Linked DNA regions of Neodiprion lecontei. The protein of the gene in region 1 purifies or fractionates together with the protein of each later gene. This does not show direct contact. Links are inferred from orthologs where the notes say so. Each region holds a gene or a part of one and is shown in the gene's direction. Other genes may lie near its edges. The genes, in order: syntaxin-5, BET1-like protein, vesicle-trafficking protein SEC22b and synaptobrevin homolog YKT6.

Region 1 (9,003 bases):
TTTAGGGAAGTCAATCGTCTAAATGATTTCATGCATATTTGACAATGATATTTCGCTTCTCCTGTATGCATCGTTATATGTCTAGCTAACGTATTAGCTCTAGCAAATGCTCTACTGCAATACTGACATATGTATGGTTTTTCACCACTATGTGTGCGGAGATGCAACTGCAAATATGTACTCTTTGTAAATGCTCTACTGCAAACATTGCAAACGTATGGCTTAATTCCTGTATGAGTTCTCATATGGGCTACTAGCGATCCACTTTGTGCAAAGCACTTACTGCATACTTCACAAAGGAAACGTTTTTGCGGCTCTTTGATGCGTTTGTGTCGTTCCATATGGTTGGCCAATGATTGCGCCTGCGCAAATGCCTTTGGACACATAGCGCATTGATGAGGTCTGCACTTTTTTTCCTATCAAATCAATCAGTCAGTTATTTTTCAAATATAGACAAGATTCATATAATTGAATAAAATTTGAATCAACGAGTTTAACTTTTGCAAAATTGTAAAAACTATCGGACAACTAAAATTTATGAATTCGCAATACTAAATGCAAAGAATATCTCACCTTCCTTTTGGATTCGGCACCTTCATTTGGTCTACTTTCGTTATCTGTATCCTCATCTTCATCATCAGATGCCCCAAATATTTCTGCTTTGTGTTTGGACTGCTCATGATCTTTGAGTTTATCTAATCTAGAGAATTCCTTTCCACATGTTGAACAATTGAATCTAAGACCACTGTGGGTTGATATATGCCTTTTCAGGTTTCCTTTTGTTGCAAAAAGTTTACCACATTGAGTGCACTGTAGACCTTCGAGAGGTAAATCGTCGTCGTCGGATTCGTTTATTTTGGAATGAGACGAATCAGTTTGATGCTCCAGCGATTCTTCTATCGTTGTCAGCGGCATGGAATGATTATCTGAATTTTCACATTTTTCATATTCAGGGTGAGTCTTAATGTGGGAAAGAAATGATTTTTGATAGGTGAACTGTTTCGCACAGACTTTGCATTTCATTTTATAATTTTTTTTATCTGTTTTCTGTTTGTATATCGAAATGTCAATGTCTTTCTCTAACTTTTCCCCTTTTCTATCAGTATCTATTGCACCACAGTTATTATCAATATCAACTCTGTTATCATTTTTCAAAGAATCATGATTATCTGACACATGATTCTTCAACTTTGCAACAGTAGAAAATTGTTTGTCACACAAGTAGCAAACATATCTCAATTTAGTTTTGTGCTTGTGAATGGTCATGTGTCGTTGCAAAGCTAGATTTGTGGCAAAGCTCTTGATACAGTGAGGACATTTTCGTCTGCTGGTTCTCGTGATCAATGGTTTCTCTTCGTCACTATCATTCATTTCTTCATTAAAAATTTGACAATTGTTGGGTTTTAATTTACCCGATTCAGACGAAACATCAGCTTCGTCTTCCCCTTCAGAAAGTAAACTATTTTTTAATTCAAACTTGAGATCATCATGAAAAATAATTTCATCCTGATTGTTCCTCTCTCCTTCTAACAATTCACATTCCTCTGACAATGGCATATCCTCTTGTTTAATGGGTTCTGGTTCAATATTTTGATCTGTCGAATCAATTAATTTACCTACTGTAACACCCTGGTCATCCAGCAATATCTCTGTACTCTCCAAAGCAGATATTATCTCCCGCTGGCTGAAATCGTCATCTTTCTCTATTTGCTTATCAATTGATTCATCGCTCAGGCTTTTGTCCTGCATTTCCTCCTCTTGTGAAGACTCGTTACCACTCATGCACTCCTCACTGATTTCAAAAGCTACTGTACTTTGTTTATCATCAAAATTAGTCAATACTACACGCTTCATCTCTTGTGCAGCTTGTGATTTTGATACACTCTGCATTTCCAATTCCTTTATTCCTGTTTGCTGATTAGGAATTTCGTCAGCAATGGCTTCCGTGATAACATCATTGATCGATTGTGATAATAACTCCTTAGCTGCATCTCCGTTTACTTTTACATTCGATAGCAATATTTTACGTAAAGCAGCATCAGATTTTTCAACCTGACATTTGAAATCATAAGACATATCCAATAGCTGACGACATGAAAAACAAATAACACTTGGGAGACCGTCGCCGTGTTCTACCTGTAAAAATGTTTAAAAATACATTGCCAATAATTTGTAAATTGAATTGTTAAGGAGTGTGAAGTAATGATAGTAGTAGTGTAACAAACAAAATACAAAGAATTGTTTATATTTCAAATGCAGTCTGGGTGGTTGAATAAGCGACGTTTATTGTTACCAACTGATCGAAAATTAGTTCTGACGGCAAATATGAATTGGAAAAATAAAACATGTTGATGATCGTAATATAACAGTGATGATACGGTTGAAAATGCCCAAAAACTAACCTGTATAGCTGCAAACGCCATGATTTTTCTTGGAATATCCTCATCATTTTGGAATAATTCCCAAAACTGGTTGCAATTTTTTAAACAAATACGACACTCCTGGATAGAAGCTAACTGAACTTGCGAAACACATTCGGCTGTTTCTATTTTTTCCACTTCCATTTCCATCACGAAGAAATACTCCGCTGAGCCCCGTCTTGCTGCGCCATTTGCTTGATTTTACTTTAAGTGACGTAGCGCTTAGTAAGGTAGACCGGTGGATGTGTTCGAAAATCTTTCGAACGAAAAGGATTCTAATTTTTCCTGTCTTTCTCTCATTTGGGTTAAAAGAAAGAGATGAAACCATAAGACTTGTAGAACAGTATCGAGCAGCTCCAAACAGTTGAAGTAACGATTATAAAAATAAACACTGCAAATCATGAGCTATCCGGGTAAGTCGTCATTAAGCTATGTATGTTACACGCGACTTAAGTAACGTATCATAACGTGTAATATACATGCTGATTTCAGCCGCGACAGTACGACACTGTTGCTTTGGGAACACCAAAACATCCTAGTCTCCTCAAGCCGTGGAATTAAAAGTAAGATAGCCTGATGTGACAGGCTAACGCGTATCATCTTTAATGAGCGTGAACATTGCCCGTGGCTCAAAGCTGTGAGCTGTCATGTGGTTCAGCAATTTCCAATCTGTTGGGTGAAAATTATATTATATTATACTTGACGTAGTTAATCGCGTGAAGTGTTGCCTGTGATAATACATAGTATATTTGTTGAAAGTTGAGGATGCAATGCCAGCGCGTAGACGACGAGGTGGCTCCGAACACGAAATTGATCCAATGATCACAACCTCCAACAGTGCATATCAAAATCGTGATTTTGGACATCAATACTACAATGATAGAGTTGTTTCTCAACAATTAGATATCAACAATAAACAGCAAGAAGCTAACTTAGTGACAATGACTTCGCGAGACAGGACCAAAGAGTTTGCGAATGCGATTCGCACGATGCAGGGAAGGACAGTGGCGCGAGCCGCTGTTATGAGAGATCCTAGACAGGCTCGTCAAATACAGAGTTATTCCAATTTTATGATGATTGCTAAGAATATTGGAAAGAATATCGCTAGCACTTATACCAAACTGGAAAAACTTGCGTTGCGTAAGATGATGTTCAATTAATATTCATTGGTATATTTGTTACTTTCACTTTTCACACGAATGAAAACAATCTTCTAAATCCTAGCTATCCTTGAAATTTTAAGTAGCTGCAAACAGTTATTGAAAATTTAAATGAAATGACACGAGTTTAAGAATTTTACTGCAAAGAAGAAACTGAAATTTGTTTCAATGAATTTTTCCTTGTATGTTGTAAGGTTTAAAAATAATTCAATATTCGTCTACAACGTCCATGATGTTTCTTGTTATTGTAGTGGCAAAGAAGAAATCGTTGTTTGACGATAGACCATCAGAAATCCAAGAATTGACTTACATCATAAAAGGGGATTTGAATAGTTTGAATCAGCAAATAGCAAAATTGCAAGAAGTAGGTAGACAACAGCGGGAGAGTCTTGGGACGACACGTGGCCATCACCTTGCCTCTCACTCCTCTTCTGTAGTCGTCGCTCTGCAATCAAAATTAGCCAACATGTCTAATCACTTCAAAAACGTTCTTGAAGTGAGGACAGAAGTAAGTATAACATGTTATAAATGCCGTTATAGACTTCATAGTTTCAAACAAATGGATAAAACTTCATATCTAGATTATGGATGTCCAAACTCTGATTATTTCAACTTCTTAGTTTAATGGTTTATCTTCTTTTTTTTTTATTCTATGCTGTAACTTTGAATATAAAATTCATTTGAGCCTCCTATCATTTCTGCTTATTACATTTGTGTAGTTGAAATATTACATTCTGATTTTACTGATATAATTCAATAACTACCAGCCATGTATACATGAAAACATAATAATAGTTTTCCACTAACTTGAAACAAACTTGTGTAGAACTTGAAACAACAACAATGCCGAAGGGAACAGTTTACACAAGGATCGGTATCTTCGTCGTTACCTCCTAGTGCAGTATCAGGGCGTCAAGGTTCCTTGCTTCTTCAAGAACAAGCAAATTCTTCCTCTGTTAGCATCGACTTGGAACCCGCAATGGGACAGCAAGTAATGCAGCGTCAAGCAGTCCTCTACGACGAAACAGTGAGTAATCAATTGAGCTTCTTATCAGTAATTAGAATAACAGACATACTCAAATTGAATTTGTTCGTCAGGATACTTATGTACAGTCGAGATCAGATGCTATGCAGAATATTGAATCTACAATTGTTGAACTTGGAGGAATCTTTCAACAACTGGCTCACATGGTCAAAGAACAGGAAGAAATGGTTGAAAGGTATGATAGCGCTAGAGTTGAACATTATTCCTACAAATTTTTCATTATTGTAATCTTACGATATTTTGTTTGTTCAATTTCAGGATAGACAGCAACATACAAGATACCGAGTTAAACGTAGAGGCTGCGCATGGTGAAATTTTAAAATACTTCCAATCAGTCACGAACAATCGGTGGCTGATGATAAAAATTTTTGCTGTTCTTATATTCTTCTTTATATTCTTCGTTGTCTTTGTAGCATAGGGCAAAAATCCGTCAAAACGATATACTATTATAATTATGTATATTATTTGACCATTTACTTGTATTAAGAACTTATTAAAAAAAATATCTGTTTAACTGACGCGGGAATAACTTTTTTTTTATAAAGTAGGTTCAGTGTGGATATTGTACCATAAGCATCGAAATTGTATATTCACAACTGTTCCGTTTACGGGAAATTAGCTATTTTTAATATTTTATAAATATAACAGAGTATTTGCATTCATATGTATATTATCAAACTATACCGTACATAGTGATAATTACGACAATATTCAATTAAATAATCACATGATAGTTAATTGAATTGTATTATCTTAGAAAAACTATATTTGTACGGTTTAGTTGCTAATATTAAAGTTTTACCGTAATCACCTAGTAAGAATATTCGAGCTTCTAATGCTGAAATATTTTCGCAATATCGATTTATCTACATTAATTTTGAATCAATGTCGCTTAACACGGCCAATCCATCAATTGAATTTTTATGCATCTCCACCTAATCATTGTGTACAGTGAAATACAAGTTATTGAGGCCTTGATCAATTGTGTGAACTGGTATAGTCATAAGACTGCCCTTGACACTTAACCACAATTCGTATACGATTACTTGCGAGTCATGTGTCCCATTATGGATATAACAAGTAGCAACAGTTAATCGCAACAAAATATTACACACAAAATAGTATCTATTCTTGCCTAGCTGGGTGCCTTATATGTATATTCTAAAGGAGTGGCAGTACAATTTCATACGTCAACACAATCGATCTTGGCTTTTACAATATCAATGTAAGGAATGAAGTGGGCCATCATTTCGCAAACTGCGTAACTGCAATTCTGATATTGGCAACTTATACTATTGTATCACTAAATTGTGGTTTACGCGAATGAATAGGCTGGTTATATTTGTATAAAGTATAAAGTTGTTTAGGCAAAGGTTGATAGAAAAATAAAATTAAAATACTACATTATGTATAAAGTTAACGCACTTTATGACATTCCTCAGTACTGTAGTAATTTCACTCAGCAGCTATTACTTATTTTACTCAAACTTGGAATTGACAAACTTGTTTTTCTGACAATAGACGATCAAGATTGAAGTTTTATAGAGATGTAACAGTAACTTTCACGAAATTATTTTTTATAGATTTAAACTCGACTAGGCAAATTAAATCCACATGTTAATTTGTAAAATATTGACGGTAAATTTAAAAAATGCATTTAATAAATGATCGTTTTATGAGCATAATTGTCCCGGATTTCAGTCAAATTCGAAGCCATAACTCGCGAATAATAATAAATTACAATTTATTTTGATTCTTTAAAATCATAAATATACATTTTACAGTGTGATTGTTATACTAAATATTACAAATTTTTTTCAACATGATTTCAATAATCACATTTTATTTTTATACAAATGTTCATATCTCTACGCATATATATAAATATGTATACCTGCTTTCCTTTGAAACGTTCGACTATAACATTTTCTGAAACCATGTAGTGTAAGCTATTTAGTATTTCCACAAAAACTCTTACATGAAGTGATTTGGTATCTACACATTAGCAAGTACGAATTTGCTACAGTCGAATTTCATCATACTCAGACGAAAATTTTCGAACATAGCCACATCCAAATTACGGATAAGTTCTTCAAAGTATTGATAATGCATAATTCAAATTTGAAGTAGCATCATTTTATTAAACGGGAAGAAATCTATGGAATGAAATATTAAACGTATTTCTGGTTCCAGATAAGACAAAAGGCTTAGGCTTTTCCAGTATGATTTGATTTGTCCAGGGAGTCTCCAGAAGAATGTAACGAACCTACAAATAAAATAACAATTTATACATAAACAATAATTCAGATGCACATGCGTATATATAATATATTTGATTCTAATTTGCTTGGTAGCGTATTAGTGATGGTATGGATCTGGTGAATCAAGTAATCAAGTTAGTGCGTTATGTTTTGGAATTTCAAATAACAGTCTGCAAGCAAGAAAGCTTAACCAAGTGTCAAAAATTGATTCTACTTGACAAATGCTTTGATTTTTCCGTTCAGGCAACATTTTTAAACATTGACTCTACTGAAAACCAATTATGAAATGGGATGGTTAAGCAAACTAAGGTGAGTCTGTGCCTTGCATTAAGTGCTATGCGTGGTCCTTAGGACAAGTGTAAGCAGTTGGCTTTACAATTAACCACTAATACGTATACATATAAACACAAAGCCAATAAAAAAACAGAAAAATTAAATAAGTAAGTGCCATTAGTGTACAAAGAAAAGCTGTAATGTTAAAATAGTACTGATTCAATATGTGTAAAGTAGTTAATGTTTCACAACTGAAGATCGATGATAAAGACGTGTAATTGAGCATTCTACTCTATGACGTGGTGCTATATGAATAAATATATTCTGCTCAATAACTGGATTACACAATTACCAACTGCTAGAAAAAAAGTACATAAAGTAAAGATCTAAAATAAACCTGCCACAGATTCTATTTTGAATTATTTCCTTCCATTGTACTCCAAAACTGCCTTACTTTAGAGAAGCGCTTGCGTCCTTGCGTGCACAAATATAAAAATCCAACCGATTACAACATGACGGAAATAAGAATCATTCCAGTTTCCCTAAAGCCGGAGGTGAGGTGATGTGAGTATTTTGTGTGAAAGCTTTTATGCGATTTTTGAAACAAACCTTTGTGATTCCGTACACGCTGCTCACGTTGATGGGGATGGAAAACCGGATTTCGTGTGGGTGGTAATATATCATCCCCCCATGAATGCAAAGTTCCCAAAGGTGGCAAAAATGGAGGAGGCGGACCATGATGATACATATGGGCATGTTCGTTGCTAAATGGTGGCGGTGATCGATGGTTGTAAGAGGGATGTAACGGAGGTGAAAGCGGTGGTGGTGGAGAACTGGCATCTTCGTATCTACCAGGTGGATGAGGAAGAGGTATTGGGGGTGGTGAAGACAGACGTCCTCCTAATGGTGGAGGCCTCCTACTAATATCGTACATTGGTCCCCCTCCAGAATGTGGCGGTCCCGGTATAACGGGATACGGAGGGTACGGTGGGAATGGGGGTATAGGGGGAGGAATACCTGAGGAACCAGTAAACAATATAGGAGAACTTGATGTCTCTGCTCCCAAAAATAATTGAGGGGATGATGCTGTCTCTCCATTCGTCTCCATGCCTGCGTGGGAGTTTTCATTAAATAAACATAATATGTAGCTGTACCCTGTGTATCAGTGACAAGCTTTTACATTATAAAATACGATCAACTTTTACCTGATCCTGATGCTTGTTACTAGTTATAATAGTTCCAAATTAAGAAGGAACTATATTCAATATTTCACAAATTTAAATTTTTTATATGACTTTCAAATACATTTGAAAAAAGCTGAATTCTCAATAAAAGTAAATACTACCTAGCAAAATATTTCATCTGTTGGTCACTAATATTTCAAAGACTTTTTAGATTAGACTTAAGGCTTTTCGATGTCAGGTTTCAAAATATTACATTAGAAGGTCACCATTTGATAAACTAGTATCACGGAAGTATTTGTAAAACTGTCAATACAAAGGGTTTCGCCTCGTAATGTAAGAGTATAAAATATCCAAGTGTTGTCAGAATATTAAGTAAAAGATTTGATGGAAAAGTAACATTACCACTAGAAAAAAATATTCACATCAGAAATAATATACTTACGATGTAATTTTGAATCAGCATCTACTTCATTTATACTTTTCTCCACCAGGGTCAGTCGATTTCGTAATTGGCTGGCTTCAGCCTTCGATTCTTCCAAGCGTCGTTCACTTTGTCGAGCGATTACCTAGAAATTATAATAATAATAATGGTAAAAATCCTTTAGAACTGATCCTTATGATTAGAATATTTCAGAGATATAATGTCATGCATTAAATTAC
Region 2 (6,106 bases), on another chromosome or scaffold:
AAACCGCGGACGGTCAACAACCTGTTTCCATCTCTTTCGCACAGCCTGAATCCCTCGGTAGCAACGACACTCGTGGTCACTAGGCGGAACAACCAGTGCTTCAATAAGAGGACATACCCCCATCGCCAGAGTTCCCAGACCTGTATGTAAAATCGTGGTCAACCGGCGTTCGGATAACTTTGTGACAAACACGATAGAGTTCATACGGCTAATCGTAAACGTAGATACAAATCCCACACGTCAGGATGTCGACCAACGTAACGTCGATTTTTAACTCGTTCCAAGATTACCTCAACACGGAACAAGAACTCCGTGAGGTACGTGTTTATAGACAATAATAATACGTGGTGTAAAAATATAATTAATTCAACGAATACAGTAAACAATTCGACACAAAATGACAACAATGTCAATTAACCTTTACACGGTTTTCTTGATTCATTCAGGAAATCCGAACTATCGTCAAAGAGATTGAACAAAGTGCAAGAGAAATCCTGATGGTACTTCAAAATATTCACAATGAGAATGTGTCCGAGGAAAATACTAGTATGATTGTAAATTTTGTAATTCTATTACCATCTTATTTTTTGTTTGCTAGATTTACTTATTATTTACTGTATATCAATTTATTTATTGTTTGCTTACTCAGTAGTGTCGGAACACTGTACTAAGGCAAGGTGTCTATTTGAGGATGTACGAAAGGGTTATGCCAAACTAGCCGCTGTTGTTCCTGAGAATCAATACTACCGATTTCATGAACATTGGCGTTTTGTCACGCAACGTTTATGCTTCCTGGCTTCTCTCACTATATATCTAGAAGTCAAAATTCTTGTGCACAAAGACACGGTTGCAGAACTATTGGGAGGTACGTTGACGATGACAGTATTACCAACTTATTATCTAAAGCCTGAATCCATAATTAGTTGTGTAATCTCTCTATAATTTAAGTAAAGAGCAATCGAGAGGAAGGATTTCACTTGGATCTTGAAGATTTTTTGATGGGACTTCTGCAGCTATCTTCAGAATTGGTATTCACGAAAAATCATTATTATTTGTGAAAATCGTTCACCCATAACTGCAGTACATTATTTATAAATATTTTTTCTAGTGCCGCTTTGCAGTCAACAGCGTAACGAGTGGAGACTATGATCGACCAATAGAAATATCCAGGTTTGTGAATGAATTGAACGCTGGATTCCGACTCCTCAATCTGAAGAATGACTCTCTTCGTAAACGGTTTGACGCCCTGAAATACGATGTTAAAAAGATCGAGGAAGTCGTTTACGACCTCAGCATTCGAGGACTGAAACCTGCTGTACCGCCTGCTCCAGTAGATTCGAAATAGAAAGGCAATTCTACTACCACAATACATTAACTATTACTCACGATACCAAGTGAGAAGCTGCGCCAGCATAGGTTTTGCAGTGAGGTTAAACATGTGGACATAATTCAACTTGATTTTGACAATCTTCTCGAAGATTATTGCGACGAGGTGCGACAGTGCCTAGTTTTTGTAATGCTTGATACCAGTTCGTAATAAAAATGACCATAGTTATACTATATGCAGTTATTTTATTTCCAACAACTAAGTCATTGATTCATTGCACATTCTTTATTGCTCAGATTAACAGGTCGATTAGTATCCCCTCGTTTTATTTAAGATACTTGGCATTATTTTCGGTGAAGAATTGCGCTATACCGTGCGATCGCATTACTTCAGAAATATGCGGCTGGATTGTAACCTGTAGGAAAAGACAAAATTAAGAACCGATGGTGTTCGATGGTTTCGTGCGTGGTCAAACGGTGTACATGACATCGCAAATATCGATGGTCTGATACATGGAGCCTAGAGTAAATGGTCTGATAGGAAAATAAAAAACATGCTCTTTACCTCTCTTCTCGTTTGATGACGAAAAAAAATCGTGAATATTTTTTGCCGTTTTCTGCTCGAGAATACGCTGTATTTTTATTAATACGAGTACCAAACTTCAAATCGATTCATCTATTACAGTTCGAGTTATCGTGTACACTGTTTTGAAAAACCTAGGTTTAAGTAAAATTGTTTAATATTTTTCTGAGTATAAAAATTTAATTAAGATGTATCTTACTGTTAATCTACCATTTCTACCTCGTATTGCATTTAAATCTTAACCGTTCAAACTATTATGAATATTCGAGGGAAAAAACTCTTCAATATTGATAACTTCACTCGTTAAACAACTCGTTGTGGAGAAAACGGAGGCAAACGAAATTTACTTGTACACGTGTGGACGCGAATCCTGAAACAGCCTATTTTTTCCCTAGTGGATTACGTTGGCAATGGAGAATTTCACAATCAACCCGTAGCAAGAATACGTTTGAGGTTTTCAAACATGGAGACTACACTTGTTCAAAGCAATGTATAAATAATTCTGAATTACCATGCTTAAACGGTAGTGTATATTCGTTGATAAATAAGTGACAATATTTAATACCAGTCAAAATAATATTTTCTGTAAGATCGTACCGATAATGAAGCTAAAGCGTAACATTCGACTAAATGGGGCAGCCCTACGCGAAAAATAGGCATTTAGTACTACATTAGCAATTATAATAGGTATTTCTCATTCGGTCAGACTAATGAGAGGCCATAATGTCAGGTTGAAAAGATTGAATCAGCGTAGCCATAAGCAGGCCGTAAGACGTAACCAACCAGCGATTTCGATAGCATTCTTACTGTTTGTTCAAATGCCGACGATCACAACTCGTTTCTTGTTGTGACACGTCACCGAGTGACAATCGGGTCCCGAGAGAACGAAACGGACACGTCATTTGCAATGTTTGCGAAATTTATACGTTCAATTTTGTAGCAAACGAAAAAGGTAACGAATAAAAACTTGATTGCACAGCTTGAGGTGGTTTTTATTTTTTATGTCTTTCGCCTGACATCCGCCCAAGTAGAAAATAAGCGCAAATTATTATCGAATTTTGGGGTTATGTCGAGATCTCAAGTAAGTTTAGTTGTGTTTCAGTGTTTTGTTCCAGGAAAATGAGGAGAACGCACGGGACAACTAGTCACAGATAGTCCTCGGAACATTTCAAAATTGATTCAAAAATGAGGCGGTCGCATTCGGGTTAGTCGGATGTGCTGAAAATAAATAAACAAATCTTGTCTGTCAAGTTAAAACTAAAGGTATTTTCTTCCCGTTTTCAGGGGGGTATGCTTATGGGCCGTTGCCAAGCACCTCTCACGATGCTCTGGAGGAAGAGAACGAACGGATAGCCGATGAACTGAAGGACAAAATAAGCCTCCTGAAGGCAGTGTCCATTGATATTGGTACCGAGGTTAAATACCAGGAAAAAATGTTGAATGGAATGGTTAGTAAGGAGGCTAATTAAACAGAATGCGGAAAATCAAACTGACAGAATTCAGTGTGACCAATTACTGAAATTAGAGTTTGTCTTACAATTATGTTTATTCAAATTTTGTTTCAGGACGAAGATTTTGAGAGGACGAGTGGCTCCCTGACTTCCTCTGTGTCTAGAGTATTGCGTATGGCGAGGGCAGGACATAATTATTACATCATTTACCTTTTCCTTTTTTCAATTGCTGTATTTATTGTGTTATGGCTTGTTCTTAAATTTAAATAATTTCTATAAGGTGTAGAGACACGCTCCAACTTTTTTGCGCATTCTTAGTCTACCCATTGACTGAAGAATATAATTTTAGTTATGAAAGAATATATATTCTTCAGTCAACGTTCCACCGTATGAATGACATGTTATTGGTGAATGGTATTTCTAATTCTACATGTTATGTGTAATAGAATAATTACTTGAATCATTCAAATGTAAAATACAAAGAACGTTTATTTTCAAAATTTCGTTATTATGAAAGGCCTAAACTTAGAATTGGAATGTCAATCTGTTGAGTATTTGAAATTTTGATGTTCGAACGTTTTTTTTTTTTCTTTTATGGCGGGTCATAGTTCCGCCTTTTTGATACAGACTCCATATACTTACACGTCGAAAATCGGCATCGTGACTTCGACTTGTTTATCAGTGCGATTTAACGATGACGGATATCAACGAATCTGACTTGTACAAGCTATTTAAGAAATCTGAAGAAGCTGAAAGCGTCTATACAATCGGAACTACCGTAGACACAGGTACAACACATAATAATACACGTGTTACTGCGTTTGTTTTGTTTCTTTAAACATAACCTAAACGTGTGATACAGGTTTGGAATGGCAGGCGGTTGACGAATGCAAAGAGAAGGTGGATACGACTTTACACGTTGTCAAGGAGCGTGGAAAAATCTATTTTAACATACGTCTGGACCAATTTTCAAAAGTACTATTGCCAATATTATCATGATGCCGGTATTCGATCATCGTTTGTACAAATTTTCTTTTTGCTCCTATTAAAAAAAAAAAAAAAACAGGTAAAAGAAATGAGATCGATTGACAATATTTTTCTGGTATCCGATGTCCGTCAATTCAACTTCTCAGAAGATGATGGCGAGACTGATTTGACGTTGCTAAAAAATGCAATAGAGAAAGATCTCAGGCTAGAAAAGGGTTTGGAAGCATGGAAAGCAATGACTGGCTTTCGTGGCAAACTTTACCCTAAACAAGAAGAATTTAAAGATGCGGATAAACTGCTCAAAGCTGAAAAAAATCAGCCCCCGGAAGATGCAGTTGTAGGGGATGTCAGGAAGGGAAGAAAACGGGGTAGAGATCCGTCCCTATCCAGTGAAGAAGACATCCTCAAGTACAGAGTGACTTGCGAAAGAACAGGTTCTCATGCCTTTGAATCTGGTCAAGTTGCGAGAGTAATCGGGGGAGAATTACAAGATAAATATTTCTGGCTAGTCGACTTGACCATGTACCATCTGGAAGTCATTTGCAATCTAGTTCAGAGTGGGTTTCCTCAGCACAGTTAAAATGTGAAATACATATTGAGGTTCATCCTTCAATAATTGAAGTTTTTTGATCTGCTTACTCACATTTACAGATGAGCTGGCAACCTGTCTTCGCATAACTCATGAGTCCAAACATCGCCGTAATATTATTCACTTTGGCCCAACTACGCTGCGAGCTACTGTGTGTTATAGTTTATTACGACTTGCGAACCCAAAGCCAGGGGATATCATAATCGATCCAATGTGTGGCGGAGGCTCCATACCGATCGAGGTAGAACGATTACCCTTGAATAGATTTGACAAAAAAACACAGCTATTTTTCAATATTTTTAATATGCCTTTACAATTTGATAGGCAGCAATCGCTTTCCCAGATACATACGTTTTGTGTGGAGATAATCATGAGAAAGCTGTTGCTAGAACAAAGTTAAATATCGATGCTCAATCTATCAATCATAAGACAGAGCTGATCACATGGAGTGTCGCCAAATTACCGCTGAAAGATTCTTATGTTGACATTGTGGTAACTGACATGGTAGGCATATCATTGCTTATATGCCAATACAACATATGTCTTTTGCTATTGTTCGTTGTTATTAATTTTTCAGCCATTCGGAAAGCGAAGTGGTTCAATGACAGACAACAGAGTGCTTTACAAAAGATACATTACAGAGTTGGCTCGTGTTGCAAAACTAGGTACAGGACGTCTGGTTCTACTGACTTACGATCGTCGCAGTATTCAAATGGCAAGTGGGCTCAATTTTCACAAGATATTTGTAATACTTGAAACGCATTAGAAAATTCATTTTTTTCGCATCTTGCAGGCTTTACAATCCGCAAGCAATTTATTCAAAGTGATAAAAATGCTCGGGGTTAATATGGGCGGGTTGCACACAGCTGTGTATGTTTTGAAGAGGACCAAGTTACCGTATAACCCGTAGAAGAGTAATTCTTCGACTTTGCAAGACTGATAAGAATCAAGCACAAGTTATCAGGATACTTTGTTTATTGTAAAGTGGAAAATATGATTTCCATAAACATTGAATACCACGATTTAAAATTATTTATGTTCACGTGCCTAAACGTATTTCAGTAGGCTTCGATTCAGCATCCAGTAAAAATTATGCATACGTATACAAGGCATATACGGCAAAAACGATGTCTATTTACTACAAGAAGAACTTTCTTCTGCTAGTTTCCA
Region 3 (7,385 bases), about 7.5 Mb from region 1:
ACTGTTCCAGTTAGTATAGTATTCGGATTGTCCTGGCGAAGTATATTCCTTAGGTGGATCAAACGTTTGAGAAGTCTGTTGCCCCTGTTGAGACTGATTAATATTTTCTATGGGCTGTTGCTTGTTTGCTACCAATGATGGTTCTTGCCAGGACCCACTGACTGACGCGGCATTATGATTTTGCCAGTTACGAAGCGAAGGATCCAACTGTTGGTCGCTATTGTTCCAATTGTAGGTATTTGTTTGAGGAGGAAGTGGAGGAGTCTGTATTTTTTTGATGTTATCCAGCTGAGCACCTGAATTATTACCAAGGGACGGTAAATTTGGTGTCTGTTGACTGCTGATAGACCATTGCGAATGATCAGCAGGACTTGACTTAGAATTAGGCCTAGGTGGTAAATGATATTGTTGTTGCTGTTGCTGTTGTGGTGGCTGATTATATTCGTAAGACGTGTATTGATTATAACCATCTTTATTACTTGGTGTAGATTCTCTGCTTAGACTCGTCCGTGGAATATTACCACCAGAAGTAGGCTGTTGATTAAGTACATTGGGTCTACTATTTCTGTTAAAATTCGGATAATACATTCCCTGCTGTGGATTCTGTATACTTTGACTATTATTGGTGCGGCCAGAAGGAAATTGATGATGCTGAGAAAGCTGATGTAGAGACTCTGACTTTTGATCAGTGTTTGAATTCCACGAATCACTATTGCCATTATTACCGTTATCGGTACCCCAATCCCAGGGATCATGAGATTGCTGTTGTGGCTGGTGCTGTTGCTGCTGCTGCTGCTGCTGCTGCTGAGGTTGAATCAGAGAATTGGGCTGTTGCTGATAAACATTCGCTGGCAAAATTCCTGATCGTCTCTCAGGCTGCATAGAACTCCAAGTGTTTTGACTCTGAGATCCATACCCTGACACTGCGGCATGATCCACCCTAGCTCTAGCTGGTCTCGCACGATATGGATTCTGGAAAATAATTTAGAATTAATTTCGTTCCAGTTGTTATGTTACATTGTAGGATGGTTCAGTGCGATAAACCATGTGTTACTTACGTTCATATTACTTCTGCTCCAACACCACACTTATCGTAAGCTTGATATTTAAAACCTGAACAAAAAACAGAAGATATTGACAATAGGTGTACATAAACCACTGGTAAATTTTTGGAGTTTCTGCAGCAAATAATTAGGCCGTTAGCAAGCTAAATGAAAAATAACTGCGGCATCGTCAAATAATTTAAAATAACAGCATTTAAGGATGCACAGGTGCAAGTCTAAGCCTTCTTTTTTCGTTCATTCAAAACCACTGTATTCTTAATCACTCGATGATATTACAAAAATAATATTGCTATTCATCATGACGATCAAGAATGAGTTCATTGAATTCCAATCTTGACCAGTTGTAGTATAGTATTATTTATGAGAAATGTCAAGTGTTTTGTTGAAGAGTAAAAATGGGTGACAGGATATCCTGTCCATAATTAGCTTATCAATTTATTTAAACTAATTGGAAGAGACGTCAAGGTCCTTGGTAAAGATAAGAAAAACAACGAGTATAGACATGCGATGATACATCCCAAGAAAAGGTTCGTTTGCAGTGACAACACTTTAAACTTTGAAAGATTTATAAATCCTTCCATACATCAAACTTGTTCTTGATGAAGTTTCAAATATATGCAGAATCAAAAGAATTGAGTCTTAAAGCCGCAACTTGTGAGTGAAGAATCTGTTTCAATACTAATGTAAACGGTCGCATAATTACATAACAAGAAACACAATGTAAATTTCAATGATTTTCACACGAAGTAGCGAATGCCTGTCGGGAAATTACAGGTGATATGGACCTCGGAAGCCAGAAAATACCTTCCCAGCTGTGATATTACCAACTCGTTGTGACGATACCAAACTATCGTATTATTTTCTCAAGTCATTTACTCACCTAGTTAACGTTCTGGCAGCTAGCGCTATCACACATTGTCACGAACACCTGAGTAATAAATGAATTTACGATAAATTTAGCACATTTTCACATCCATAACATGCTAAGAAAACTGTTGTACAAACACGAGCATTTGACGGTGGAAAATCTGGGTTAAGCACGTCACAAACTTCTTCCGTTCACTGGCGTTAAGGTGGAATACCTCGGTCACAATTGTCAGGGTGTTGAGCACAATTCTCCGACAGATAGCGGTAAAAGGTGTCACGGTTCTCAACCCGCCGTATTTCCTTTGAATTAAATTTAAAAAATACCTACTTCTGACGCGAATCAGTAACTCGCGGGCTTTTTAATACCGAACCAACGATTCTACACGCAAAATTTGTCACGCCGACAATTTTATTGCGTTATTAATAGTGCCTGGTTATCCGGTATGCAAAAGACTCACCGATGAGTTGACAACCACGATTTTGGTGCGTCGAGTAAGCCGGCTGTTAAATTCACATCTTTTTTCACAAGAATATTGCATTACAAGTTTTGCGGAACTTGGATAAATCTGAGGTTTCGTAATTTATTATAACAGTTTTTAGCGCTCAATTGTCAACAATAATTCGTTATATTAACCTTCGGTAAACAATTTACAGTAAGTCAACGACGCGCATGCAGCGACTGACGTGGTAAATTCTAAATGGAGTTTTCCGATGTCGGCCACATCAGTTACCAGCGCTGTACAAATGGGCTTTTGGAGGTTCAATGAGTAGACGGACTGCTGTTTTTATCTGAATAAATCTGGATATTCCATAAATTCCAATAAAAATGGTGTTATTAACCATGATCGCGAGGTTAGCCGACGGCCTGCCGCTAGCCGCTACAATGCGGGACGATGAACAGGTTAGATTGCTGTTAAAAACGACTGTTATGATGAAATGTCACTTTCTCATTAATTTCCATATTTATTGCCAAATCGTCCTGTCTTGTTCTCAAAATTCTATCCATATAATGGCCAAGCGCTCGCCCTTTAGTGAATAAAAATTTTAATTATTGATACATTACTCTTTGTAATTATTATCAAGAATCCGTAGTTCATTCATGACTTGTTGCAATCATTTAGTTTAATACAATTTTATCACTCGTTTTTGCTCCTATTCCTAGAACAATATGCTGATCCAATTCAGTAAGCACACGTCTTTTCTCTTATTCATTTTCGCAGAGTTTCAAAGCTCTTTCTTTACTCCGTTCAACGCATTCTTACTAAATCACGTATTGTGCATTGAACCTTGATCATCTTGATTCCGTATCCAAATGTTCAAATTAATATCAATATCGTAGCAATGTTGATTATAAAAAATTTAATGTTTTACTTACAGAGTGGCAGAAGTATTCTGGAATATCAGAATCAAGCCAAAATGTTATTCAGGAAACTTGGGCCACAATCGCCATTGAGATGCACGATAGAAACTGGACCATATTTATTTCAGTAAGAACGATCATGTTATCTTACTACGTCATTTTGTTATTCTTTTTCTATTATATTTAATGTATGCATGAATTATAAAAAACAATAATACACATTGTTTAAAGCTGTAAGTTAATAATTTCAAATGTATGTGAATGTGAAGGAAGTTGAAAATTTTTTGGTTTCCTATTACAGTTACCTTATCGAAAAAGAAGCTTGTTACTTGGTATTGTGTGAACGAAATTACAGTAAACGTGTAGCTTACAGCTATCTTGAAGATATTGCACAAGAGTTTGATGCACAATATGGTAAAAAGATCAACACCGTCACTAGACCTTACAGTTTCATTGAATTTGGTAAGAGAACTTTTACTTTTAGACTTGCTTCGGTTAGTCAAAGCTCATATATTCAAGGCATGTTTTTTTCATATAAATCATTGCCTTTGCAGACACGTATATTCAAAAGGCAAAAAAGGCTTTCTCAGATAATCGGTCCAGGAGAAATATGAGCGCTCTGAACAACCAATTACACGATGTTACAAGAATCATGGTTCAAAATATCGATGATGTTCTTTCGAGAGGAGCTATGCTTTCAGGTAATTTCTATGGTTATTCTGAACATTGTCAACCGACATTTCAACACAACTCCGATTATAGGCATTGCATGCTGACTTGTAATTGTTCTGATAAATATCTTCATTTTCCAGAATTAGATACCAAAACGCAGAACTTGTCAATGTTGTCACAAAAGTACAGAAAGGATGCCACGCATTTGAACAGCAAATCAATGTACATAAAGGCAGTTGCAGGGATAGTTGCATTCCTCGTCTTCCTACTGTACTTTTTCATCCTATAATTGATGAGTATGAATTTTTATTGTGTTATTGATTTAAATGGAATCGATAAATTCTTCACCTATGAGAGGGCGTGCGTGCGAAATATTTTGACCATTGTGTATTGTGGAGAATGTCTTTTTGTTTCACATTCAGTGAAACTGAAATATTATATATTTATGTATACTGACTTCAAGCGTAAAATACGACGTTTAGTTGATATAAAGAATTTGAACGGCATGATATATGCAGAGTAGAGCCTCGATTGTGTCCATGATGAGTTTCCAGTCTTATTTCTGTATAATCGGAAGGTGTGATTTAGTTAGGCAACAAATTGTTTTTCATTTTTAATTCTCAAACAAAGCTTTGAACTTCTATGAGTAGAGATACAATAGTTTTATATTAATCTACGATTCAATCATTTAAATTTCTCAATGTATAAAAATTGAAACAAAAATCGGAAAACTGCAATGCAATAGGAATATCATAGGCATTATTGCGTACTAAGAGCTCTTTGAAAAGTTACACGAACAGATGTTTCTGTTATTATGTAATGTTACTTGCTTACAGCAAAACTACTTCTGTAAAGATCTATACTGCTACAGGTTTTCGCACGGGCGATTGAATATAGAATTCTATTCTTCATGTGATGTAACACTTTCAAAATGATTTTCATTCGATGGATATTCGTGTTTAAATATAAGCATACGTATTTTGCTTCAACTTCCGAATACACGAATCAAATTTATTTTTAATTCCATCAAAGTGAGTAAACCTAATCTGTTTTTTATGGGAATTTGACATATTATGCATAGCCAATCCCATTGAAAACTCTTAGGAAATTATGTATTATTTACGTGGTATAAAGTATTGTTGGGGAAAACATACATAAAAAATAGCTCTCATTGTTGAAAGAGACATAGGGTCTATGGAAATTGTGTAATATAGTAGCCTGTATTCATGATTAATAATATTATTATTGTATTTGTATCAAATTCGGTTACACTGTTCTAGTGAACGTTCTATTTACAATAAAAGCTTGAATTTCTACCAAATATTTGGTCATGCATGGAAATGCATAAAAGTAACTCAGATGAAGCGTTTCAATCTATTACTTCTTACCTATAATTTCACGGAAATGTTTTGCACATAATTCAACGGTTTTAATTAGAATTGATTAGTTGAAGTTATTATTTTCAGAAGCTGTGCATACTTGAATACCCCAAGTTATCTCAGCGATATGATAACCTTCTAACGATTTTATAAATTTGAGTACATTTTATTTTTTGAAACCATTTCCATACTTTCATTTTCTGAATCTGTTAGATCATTGTCAAAGAAAAAGTTTACTGGAACTCCTTCATTCTTCTTTTTAACTCTCTGATTATTTGTATGTTTTCTTTTGAGGTTTCCTCTTGTTTGTTCAGCCTCTGTTGACGCCTCTTCTTCATCTGTTGATATTCAGTGCAATGCAATATAGAGTTCAAATATGGTGGTATAAATTGTTCAAGCTACGAAATATGAAGTTGAAGCTAATAGCCAAAAGTGTTAAACTCTTTGAAAATAGTCAAATGCAGCTCAGTTTTACGCTCATAATTCTATAAAAGTATTGAGGATTCGAGGTATTTCACAAAATTTTTATTTGGACTTCACTACCTTATTCAAATGAACATTAAAACGGTTGGCTGCTAATTCTGACTGCTAGTTTCAGCCTCGTCTGCCAAATTGACACCTTTACTTTTGAATAATACCACTCACCAGTGTCTACAATCTCGTACATATCTGAATGATCTTTCAGTATCACATAGAAAACAGGAAATTCTATGATAGTTTTATTCTCCAGATTTTCGTTCAGTGTTTCAGTAAGGTTCAGCTCGTGAAATCTGATAAAAATAAATGTGTCAATTGATATTCGAAGACGATAAAGTGTCAGTCCGATAATCTTTCTATAATCAGAGCAAAACAAACCTTGAATCACATCTCTTCACTTTCTCAGCTTTTAGAAGGACTTTGATATTGCTAAAACCAGCTGCTCGGTAATACTGTAATTTTTCTCTGTACGCTATCTTCAAATTTATTACTTCGATACTCTCACTACCTTCGGTTTCTATTGTCAAAGGATCTAAAACTCTACCTAGTATCGTAGACAATCTCTCAGTTTCCAGGACACTGAAAGATTGAAGTAAACATTGCGTTCTAAATCACAAAATTAGCGTTTATCTAGAAACAATTCTGGATAATGTATTAAATTACACTTTACCGATTATCATTATGCTTCATATTCTCTGCTTGCGGAAAAATCCATTCAATCCTCCAAAACAATTCATTTGTTTTCCATTTATAATATGTTGTATTGATTTTATGTCTGCTAAAGTTTTGAGGTAAAAATTCCAATTTTGTATTCCTGTGATGGACAGCTGTCTTTAACTTATGCAAATGCTGCAATATTAAGGTAGTGGGATTAGGTACAAAATATTTTGAATCGTTGATTGTGAAATCAAATCTGTTGCAAACATGAAAGTTTCATTGGCAAAAACTGTGTTCACTGAATCTTACTCTCGACTGAAACTAAATATACATCATCAATAATTGACTTGCGTTAAACTCACCACTGGCAGATTACCTAGTCTTGTATACTTCTTGGAAGGATCTCTCTGAAATGAATCTACAGATCTACCGACCTCTTCAAGCAATCGATAATCTATCAAATAATATTAACATAAGTGTAAATGCACTGGCATCCAGTACAACTTCAGAAAAATAGTATGATGAGCGTTAATTTACTCACCGCTCAATACGTCGAGATCTGTGAATGCTTTCAGAGGTACGAATTTAGTCTTGTCGCGTATTCCATCACAATCCAATTCTTTCTTGTGTATCTTTACGCAGTCCAGACAGCATGTTCTAACCTCACATTTAGGACACGTGTACTTCGCACTCCTTCCTCCACAGACTTCGCACTCTTCCAACCTATTTACAATATTTAATTATTAGCGTTACTATTTCAGAAATGTTAAGTGTGAATTTGTTTGTCAATATGATTCCAATACATCATGAATAATTGTCGATAAAAAGATTACGGATAGCACATACTTGACGCTGCACGTCGCCATTTTAAATCACGTGGTATCCCCGGCAAGTTGACAATCAAGTGGA
Region 4 (7,350 bases), on another chromosome or scaffold:
AGTATAAAAAGTTGTATAATTTTCCTAAAACAACAATCATTAATAAATTACTACCATTGGACAGATAAAAAATAAAAATAAAAAAAATTAAAAAGAGTGGCCAATTCTCAAGCCTTGCCGCTGTGATAAGCTACCAGTGCTTCTCACATCGAAGCTGAAATTTTATTTCAGCTTCGAAATATAGGTTCGATGATTTTTCAATATAACTTTGCCGGGTGTCTTCAATCCCCCCTTTTGTTTTATGCTTAATCGGGAATGCCGACAGCCAATAAATAGATTTTAAAATTAGTTTGCAAAAAAAAAGGGGGGAGGGGGGATTTCAGTAAAAGTAAGAAAATTAGATACTTCAGTCCATCATTTTTCACTTTTTCTTTCGATCTTGTGTGCATTTTGGACAGTACCACTTCCCTTTCGGTTTAGTTGTCAAGCCAACACAGGCAAAGTGGAACCATTCGATCGGACACTGAAATAACAGCAGAAGTATACGTTAATATTTAGAAGTTGATTAGTGCAGTAGATGTAATCATAATGGGAACATTACGTGATACAACTGGAAGCTTATTGACTTTTGATAATGATGAAATACAAACTTACATCTGGATTATCACAACCAATCATTTCTCCGTAAGATACTTGATGGCAAAGACAATATGTCGGCTCATTTGGATCCACTGGCATGTCCAGGACATCAGCTGGGTGTCCCAACGCACTGGTGTCTGCCTGAGCACCACTTCCAACTGCCCCAGAAGCAGCAGTTGAAGTAACGGATCCACCTAAGAAATTCATTTATTTAAATTTTGTGTTTCAATGAGAAAAACTTCACAAATCACTAATCTTCAATTACAATAAGGTATTTGAAAAAAAGTATAATCTTGATTTTCATTCAACAGGAAGGATCAAAATCTGAATATCAAAAGATATTTAAACTAGTTGTTACACAATACTACAGGAGTAAACATAGGCATTGATAGAAAAAACATTAGTCACACCTTTTTTCTGCTTTTTGCGCGCAATCTTTGATTCGTCTTCGCTACTAGCTCCAGCACTTCCTTTCTTTCGTTTTTCTTTCTCTTTGAGTTTCTTCCTGCCTTTTTTACTAACAGCACTATCTTCCTGGACTCTATTTGTATTCAATGCCTTGTCTTGAATTTCTGCTTCAAATCTAGCAAGGTCTGAATCGAGTCTTCTAATGTGTTTGTCAACCAGCTCGTAGGTCTGTATAGCCAATTGAACCTTATCGTCCCCATATTCTTTAGCTTTGTTGAAAAGACTTTGGATGTGATTTAACTGTTCTTTTTTCTTATCCGCCGAAAGCGTTTTCACATTTCTCAAATATTCATCAGCCAGCTTGTCTAGATCTTTCATCAGCCCCTGCGCACGTGCATCCAGATCACGCATCAATGTGAAATTTCGTTGTAGTTCAATCGGTAGATTATCTAAACCTGAAAAGTGTTGGAAAATGACTGAATTTCAAACTGGTAAGGTTTTCCCGCAATTTCTAATGAAATGTTAATATTTTACAACATGATAGTTTTCATTTGCAGAGGAATAAAGAAATTTCCCGCTTGAAAAAATTCAATTTTTTCATCAGAAGTTATGGTTATGTGAGATGCAACTATTTAGGAAAACTACGAGTTTTTATTGGTGTAAGCACTTAGAATATACTTCACGTAACTTTCACATAACAAAAAAGATAATAACGTTATATTTTGGCACAGATGTCCTAGCATCTCACATAAATATCTCTTCTGAACATCAATTTGTTTCCTGAAAAATATTAACTTCAACACCGACTCATTGACATCCCATGTTGGTTAGCTTATTGATAGGTTAAGTTCATTGACGGTAGGCTAAAGAATGTAACTGATTAATGAAGTAAACTTCAAGGGACCTCATATTGAGAGGTCTAGTTTGATTCTACCTGACCGTGGTTACAACAAGCGATATTCTTCTTGTTAAACAACCATAAATAAAAGTTTACTTACTGTCCAGGTAATGTTCCAAGTACAATGCGGACGTCATTTCGCAGGGTAGACACCGCGGTAGAAACCCCGGGCTTGCGTTTTTTTTTTTTAATTACTCGAAGTTTGCTTGTGCAGGGTATAGTGGAACCGATTATTATACCACACACTGTTATTATTGACTTCACATCACTAGTAATAAAGTTGAAATCGTTACACCTACTCCATTCTCTCACTTTTGTATATGGGTGGAAATTGAATTCCTTCTAATTGGCACATACGTACACAAAACTGACCAGTGTCACTGTGTGTGCATAATTCAGTCGGCCGATTTTATTCACACTTTATTCGGACAAGCCTGCGGGGGAGTTTACACAACACAGCGGAGGTGGCGACACACTCTGAGTCATTCGCACGTTACGACTAACTATATGGATAACATATGTATGCACAGTGTGCATCGGTTACCGCTGAATTGCTGAATTGTGACGGTGTGGAAGAAAAGTGGGCATCCTTATCATGTAAAATAATTTCAATTAAATCTTATTGATTAAAATTACTTCTCCAAACGGAATACAACTCGAGATCGTCACTTCATCATAGTGAAAATTTGAATGATTTGAACTTGATTTGAACGATCTTAAAACAAACGTCGTGTCGCCGACCTCCGTCTGCAATCCCCCCTACAATCCCCTTCCCAAGCCCTGCGACGGACATACCCGTGTTACGTGTATGCGTGTCGTCGGACGTCGCCCGCCGTCTGCGACGCGCAGTTCTAGTGGGTGATGTGTCAGTGCTGTTAGTAGTCGCAGCAAGCTTGTAAGTGGTAAGGTACGCGATTTGACATTTGCCTTTAACCGAGGAGGGCGGAGCCAAAAACAACAATTTTAGTTCATTTTTCCGCGGATCTACCCTCTGAATCAGGATTTCATTAACGGAGGTAAAAAGCAGAAAATTCTCTCAAATATTGTGTGACACAATTCCGACTGCCCTTATCTTAATTTCACTTCATATCACTTTGTTTTACTTTCACATAGTATCGCGCTGAATGAGTCCAATTTTTTGATATTCTTGTAGGAAAGAAAAATCAAATAATGATCATTGCCACACTGGCAGTGCGACTGACAACAAGATTCTACCGGCGGTGAGAGTTGAAAACTAGGTAACGAAAGGAGGTCAAGTTCTAGTTGGAGCCGAAATTTTCCTAGGCTTACGTCGGTTGTATCTTCTTAGTCTTCTTTCCTGAACTCCCGGCTAGCCGAGTTCACTAGGTAAGCAATTATCTACATCAAATGTTAATGTGTACGATATGTGAAAAACGATAATCTTTTAGAAAAAAACTGCAATGCAAATAGCTTGTTTTTGTTACAGTCGAAAATGGTCAAATTGTACGCTTTAACCATCCTATACAAAGGCCCAACTACAGCAACAACGATCAAATCAGCTTATGAACTTGGATCTTTTTCGTTTTTTCAACGCAGTAGTGCTCAGGAATTTATGGCATTTGTCAGTAAAACGATTACTGAAAGAACTCAAATTGCAGCCAGACAAAGCGTCAAGGAAAAAGGTATTTATTTTCCAGTCTCTGTACTTTATAAAATATCATTTCATCGTGATCTGCAACTATTATGAATGACATTGGTTTCGGTGTAGAAACTACTTTTAAAAACAAACCATTGCTTGCTTAATATTAACAACATTTCTAAAGACCTTGAAACAGCCGTTTCATTTCAGTTAATTTTTGCTCCGTGCGTGCTTATTGTCTGTTTTTTTTCTATATTATCTATTTTCAGGTTGCTACCGATTGTCTCACTAAGTTCACATATTTTCTCTGTTCTTTCAGAGTATATGTGTCACGTTTATGTGAGAGCGGATAATTTAGCTGGCGTTCTAATCTCCGATCATGAGTATCCTAGCAGAGTTTCGCACACGTTGATCACAAAAGTACTAGATGAATTTGCTGCCCAGTACCCACCCAGTACATGTGCCACTTTAAATGAAGCGACAACAATATTTCCACAAGTGAATACGTACTTGGCGAAATATCAAAATCCCCGGGAAGCAGATGCATTTACAAAAATGCAGAATGACCTTGATGAAACCAAGATCATTTTGGTGAGTTTGAAGATTTTCTTAAACTGAGTTTCTTAGTTATCCAGTTTCAGCTCGTCGGTTTGGTCGTTTATGAAATATAATTGGACAAATGAGTTTGAAATTCGTAACATTAGTACTCTTACAAATCATTTATAAAAAATCTCTGTTTTTTAACTTTAGAATGACTTTGAAGAAGACGAATTTGCCAAAAAATAATGTTTTTTATTTTATTATTGTTACTTACTAAATTTCAGAGAATTTTCAAGTCGCATCATTGCATTAATATTAAAAAATACATGTTCCAAACAAAGTAGTGTCATTATCTATTTTTCTTTCCAATCCTAGAGGTTTTTCTTATGTACTGCACTCTCTGTCTAGCAAGCAATGCTTCCAATTCATTTTCTGAGATGTAAACAGTGGCATTCATTTATGTGCTGTTGTTAGTTTTCAGATAGTTATTGTGTATTGAAAGATTATGTAACTGATGCAGATAAGATACTATAAAGAATCACAAGTGTCTATTTCTATGAATACAGTAATTCATTTTTCTTACAGCATAATACAATAGAAGCAGTTTTAGAAAGGGGCGAAAAATTGGACGATTTGGTGTCAAAATCAGAAGGCCTTAGCATGCAGTCAAAAGCATTTTACAAAACAGCACGGAAAACCAATTCCTGTTGCAGCTTGACGGCTTAAACACGGTATACCATGATTCCATTGTGTTCATATTATTGTGTTACAAATGTGAAGATAGGTTTGTCAAGAAAAGAATGTTGAGTAATGTTTGAAATTTGAAAGCTAATTGATAACTTTTGCCTGCCGCAACAGTTTATTGTTCAGATGATTTTGCCTCCTCGGTATAATTAATTACCTGTGAATGTACAATTTTTTAATTTTTGAATGGATTTTACCTCCGATTGCAAAAGGTGGTTTGTCTTACCAATAGATTTCACTTGTATATTTTCTATTGAGCAAGATTGATTTAAATATTGCGCAGCCGAAGGTATGGATGTTTTTAAAGAGGCCTAAGTAAGTAATGTTATCCTTAATATATGTTAATGAACAATATGCTTTAATGCAACATATTATCCATCAATGTTGAAATACGAGTGACTGAATTTTATGTGTCTTGATTGCAAAGGGATAATTTTTCAAGACGTCATCAGATTGTATTCGAGAGTAATCAGTGTTGTCTAGCATCATAAAGAATGTCACAGAGTTCAGTATTCAACTCAAGTTACTTCAGTTTAATCAAAAAGTGGGGTTAATTTTAATTGGATTGTATACATACAGACTTTAATATCCTTTCCTTTTAAGACACATAAACAGAAATTTCACAAAATCTATGTAACCCAATGTCTATTAAACGTCTTCTTTGTCGTTGATATGTTATTCTTATTGCAAATGGAATGTAACTTGTTATTCCGTTATGCAGTTTCGGCATTGGATAAGAGTTCAATTATGGATGAAACAAAAAAATATGTGTACGTATTTATGTATTTAAAAAGTATTTCAATATATCATGTCTAAATTTAAAAAATACCACTCCAATTTTTTCCTCTAAACGTGATGTTTATCTACTCTCAGTGCCAAGGAACGTGAAATGTAAGTAATTGACCATAAGTATGAATTACATAGAATGTTATTTATTGTAATTTGTCGGTTTGTACAAGTCTACCAGGACAACTTCAATTCGGTGCACTACAATGTAATCACTTCTGCCGATTTGTGAATTTTTTCTTATGTTTTTAGCAGCACCTAGTTTACGAAAAAAACGGCATTCTGTATTCCCGAATAGTAGGGCGCCCTTTCCACAGTAATCCCGTATCTCCCATATCTTTATTGAAGCCTTTCATATACTTGTTACCAGGTGCCTAGTTACAAAAACAAAGATATAAACATATGTAAGAAAATATTTTCGAAAAATGTAGTGACATTTTTACAGAAGTTACTTTTTTTTAATCAATAACTAATCGGTTGAATCTGTAGATCAGACTGAAATACTTACATTTTCCCAAACCTTTTGATATGCGAGATGATCAGCTCCTGATACAATGAGCTCTGGTGCATTGACTTCCCCTAAGTTAAATAGCACTTTGAATGATAATACTTCATCAGCATAAATGCGCCTTGTATCACTCCAATCGTTAGCATCCCAGAATTGCCAGTCCCTGAATTTGAGATCGTCTCGGTCATCAGCGTCAAAGTTCAATCTCTCGATGTCCTCAATGACAACCTCAGGGTCGCCACCCTCTGACCAGTCATAAATGAGAATATGAGCATGTTCTGACATCTGTTTCAAATACTGCTGTTTATAAAGATTTTCAATATCAGTCAGGTACTGCTCCGTGAAAACCTTGGATTCAACTTCGTAGGGTATCCCCCTCTTTTGAATCTTTTCCTAAAATAATTTGTAAAATGGTTGATAAGCTATGTAATTAATTGTAGGACCTAGTAAAATTTTAAGAGAATTGAAAATGAATGAAAAATACAGCTCAAGTTCCTGCAGAAAATCTGAATTGTGTTTGGGTATTTTCAGTAAAGACAAGATGGAAAAAAAAGAACCACAACAACAAAGAACCTTGACTACAGGTACAGGAACATCCAAATAGATAACTAAATGCGGCAGGCGGAGTTCACGCAAAGTGAGCTGTGTGAGGTCTTGGTAAGTCCGTTGCGCAAGTTTGCTAACATAGCCAGCATTGCACATTGACTCCATAAAAATGGCATCAGAGTAGACACATCGCTCCAAAACAACACCTTCTCCAGTTGAGAAAAGGTGTGCTAAGGCGTCAACGTATTGGAAAAACCTATAATAATACATTTGGAGCTGATAATTGGCACAGTTCATGTGGTGCGGATCTTTACAGAAGTTCTTGACGTCATAAGATCTACAAGATTCTGGCAGCTTGTCGTCCAATTGCCGCATATCGAAGCCATATGAGTTTATATAATGCATGTCCATTGTCACTGCTGGCATATAGTGCATGTCCAAATCCTTGGCCAATGCTTCAGCAAATTCTGTCTTGCCAGAGGCAATTGGCCCTTCGACAATAACGATTTTGGAATTATCATCCATTCTGTGTACAGTTTTGTCAAATAGCTGATTCCAACGACTGTACCTCTTCGTCTCATACGGAAACGGAGGTGGCCTCTTTCTTTCGACCACCCGCATTGCTTTTCCTGAGATGAATGCCACTTGTATTTTGGCTATATAGCCGCTGGCTCCTAATGATGGCTAAAAAATATAAATTACTCAAATCTGTGGCATGTTGATAGTGCTGATTTCTGTGTG

Evidence for each region.
Region 2: the proteins of syntaxin-5 (region 1) and BET1-like protein purify together in Homo sapiens (affinity purification with mass spectrometry; 3 studies listed by BioGRID and IntAct, with this or other methods). This does not show direct contact. The link is inferred for Neodiprion lecontei from reciprocal best matches to the Homo sapiens genes STX5 and BET1.
Region 3: the proteins of syntaxin-5 (region 1) and vesicle-trafficking protein SEC22b purify together in Homo sapiens (co-immunoprecipitation; 4 studies listed by BioGRID and IntAct, counting the BioPlex papers as one, with this or other methods). This does not show direct contact. The link is inferred for Neodiprion lecontei from reciprocal best matches to the Homo sapiens genes STX5 and SEC22B.
Region 4: the proteins of syntaxin-5 (region 1) and synaptobrevin homolog YKT6 purify together in Homo sapiens (affinity purification with mass spectrometry; 3 studies listed by BioGRID and IntAct, with this or other methods). This does not show direct contact. The link is inferred for Neodiprion lecontei from reciprocal best matches to the Homo sapiens genes STX5 and YKT6.

Annotation. Positions count from the first base shown.
Region 1 is NC_060262.1:35,647,206-35,656,208, forward strand, and holds syntaxin-5, read left to right. Parts: upstream 1-3,044; 5' UTR 3,045-3,190; coding exon 3,191-3,560; intron 3,561-3,831; coding exon 3,832-4,088; intron 4,089-4,406; coding exon 4,407-4,607; intron 4,608-4,678; coding exon 4,679-4,800; intron 4,801-4,883; coding exon 4,884-5,043; 3' UTR 5,044-7,865; downstream 7,866-9,003. Other genes in the region: zinc finger protein 502, read right to left, coding at 1-416, 574-2,136, 2,403-2,570. UniProt on the Homo sapiens protein: Mediates endoplasmic reticulum to Golgi transport.
Region 2 is NC_060264.1:34,541,669-34,547,774, reverse strand, and holds BET1-like protein, read left to right. Parts: upstream 1-2,321; 5' UTR 2,322-2,432; intron 2,433-2,705; exon of another isoform or gene 2,706-2,861; intron 2,862-3,000; exon of another isoform or gene 3,001-3,011; 5' UTR 3,012-3,094; coding exon 3,095-3,113; intron 3,114-3,193; coding exon 3,194-3,357; intron 3,358-3,474; coding exon 3,475-3,630; 3' UTR 3,631-4,054; coding exon of another isoform or gene 4,055-4,148; 3' UTR 4,149-4,222; coding exon of another isoform or gene 4,223-4,335; 3' UTR 4,336-4,338; downstream 4,339-6,106. Other genes in the region: translin, read left to right, coding at 246-317, 447-546, 650-865, 949-1,028, 1,109-1,345; THUMP domain-containing protein 3, read left to right, coding at 4,055-4,148, 4,223-4,335, 4,427-4,904, 4,999-5,177, 5,261-5,651, 5,730-5,782; probable ribosome production factor 1, read right to left, coding at 6,075-6,106. UniProt on the Homo sapiens protein: Required for vesicular transport from the ER to the Golgi complex. Functions as a SNARE involved in the docking process of ER-derived vesicles with the cis-Golgi membrane.
Region 3 is NC_060262.1:28,173,810-28,181,194, forward strand, and holds the start of vesicle-trafficking protein SEC22b, read left to right. Parts: upstream 1-2,389; 5' UTR 2,390-2,502; intron 2,503-2,585; 5' UTR 2,586-2,757; coding exon 2,758-2,832; intron 2,833-3,308; coding exon 3,309-3,418; intron 3,419-3,592; coding exon 3,593-3,753; intron 3,754-3,845; coding exon 3,846-3,992; intron 3,993-4,103; coding exon 4,104-4,252; 3' UTR 4,253-4,259; exon of another isoform or gene 4,260-5,489; coding exon of another isoform or gene 5,490-5,680; intron 5,681-5,987; coding exon of another isoform or gene 5,988-6,112; intron 6,113-6,197; coding exon of another isoform or gene 6,198-6,398; intron 6,399-6,489; coding exon of another isoform or gene 6,490-6,668; intron 6,669-6,838; coding exon of another isoform or gene 6,839-6,930; intron 6,931-7,017; coding exon of another isoform or gene 7,018-7,199; intron 7,200-7,322; coding exon of another isoform or gene 7,323-7,342; exon of another isoform or gene 7,343-7,385. Other genes in the region: uncharacterized protein LOC107223481, read right to left, coding at 1-972, 1,059-1,064; box C/D snoRNA protein 1, read right to left, coding at 5,490-5,680, 5,988-6,112, 6,198-6,398, 6,490-6,668, 6,839-6,930, 7,018-7,199, 7,323-7,342. UniProt on the Homo sapiens protein: SNARE involved in targeting and fusion of ER-derived transport vesicles with the Golgi complex as well as Golgi-derived retrograde transport vesicles with the ER.
Region 4 is NC_060263.1:35,805,741-35,813,090, reverse strand, and holds synaptobrevin homolog YKT6, read left to right. Parts: upstream 1-2,465; 5' UTR 2,466-2,901; intron 2,902-3,038; 5' UTR 3,039-3,232; intron 3,233-3,316; 5' UTR 3,317-3,338; coding exon 3,339-3,528; intron 3,529-3,804; coding exon 3,805-4,076; intron 4,077-4,610; coding exon 4,611-4,751; 3' UTR 4,752-5,545; downstream 5,546-7,350. Other genes in the region: inhibitor of growth protein 5, read right to left, coding at 362-463, 595-773, 990-1,442, 1,986-2,022; NADH dehydrogenase [ubiquinone] 1 alpha subcomplex subunit 10, mitochondrial, read right to left, coding at 5,819-5,929, 6,064-6,456, 6,637-7,293. UniProt on the Homo sapiens protein: Vesicular soluble NSF attachment protein receptor (v-SNARE) mediating vesicle docking and fusion to a specific acceptor cellular compartment. Functions in endoplasmic reticulum to Golgi transport; as part of a SNARE complex composed of GOSR1, GOSR2 and STX5.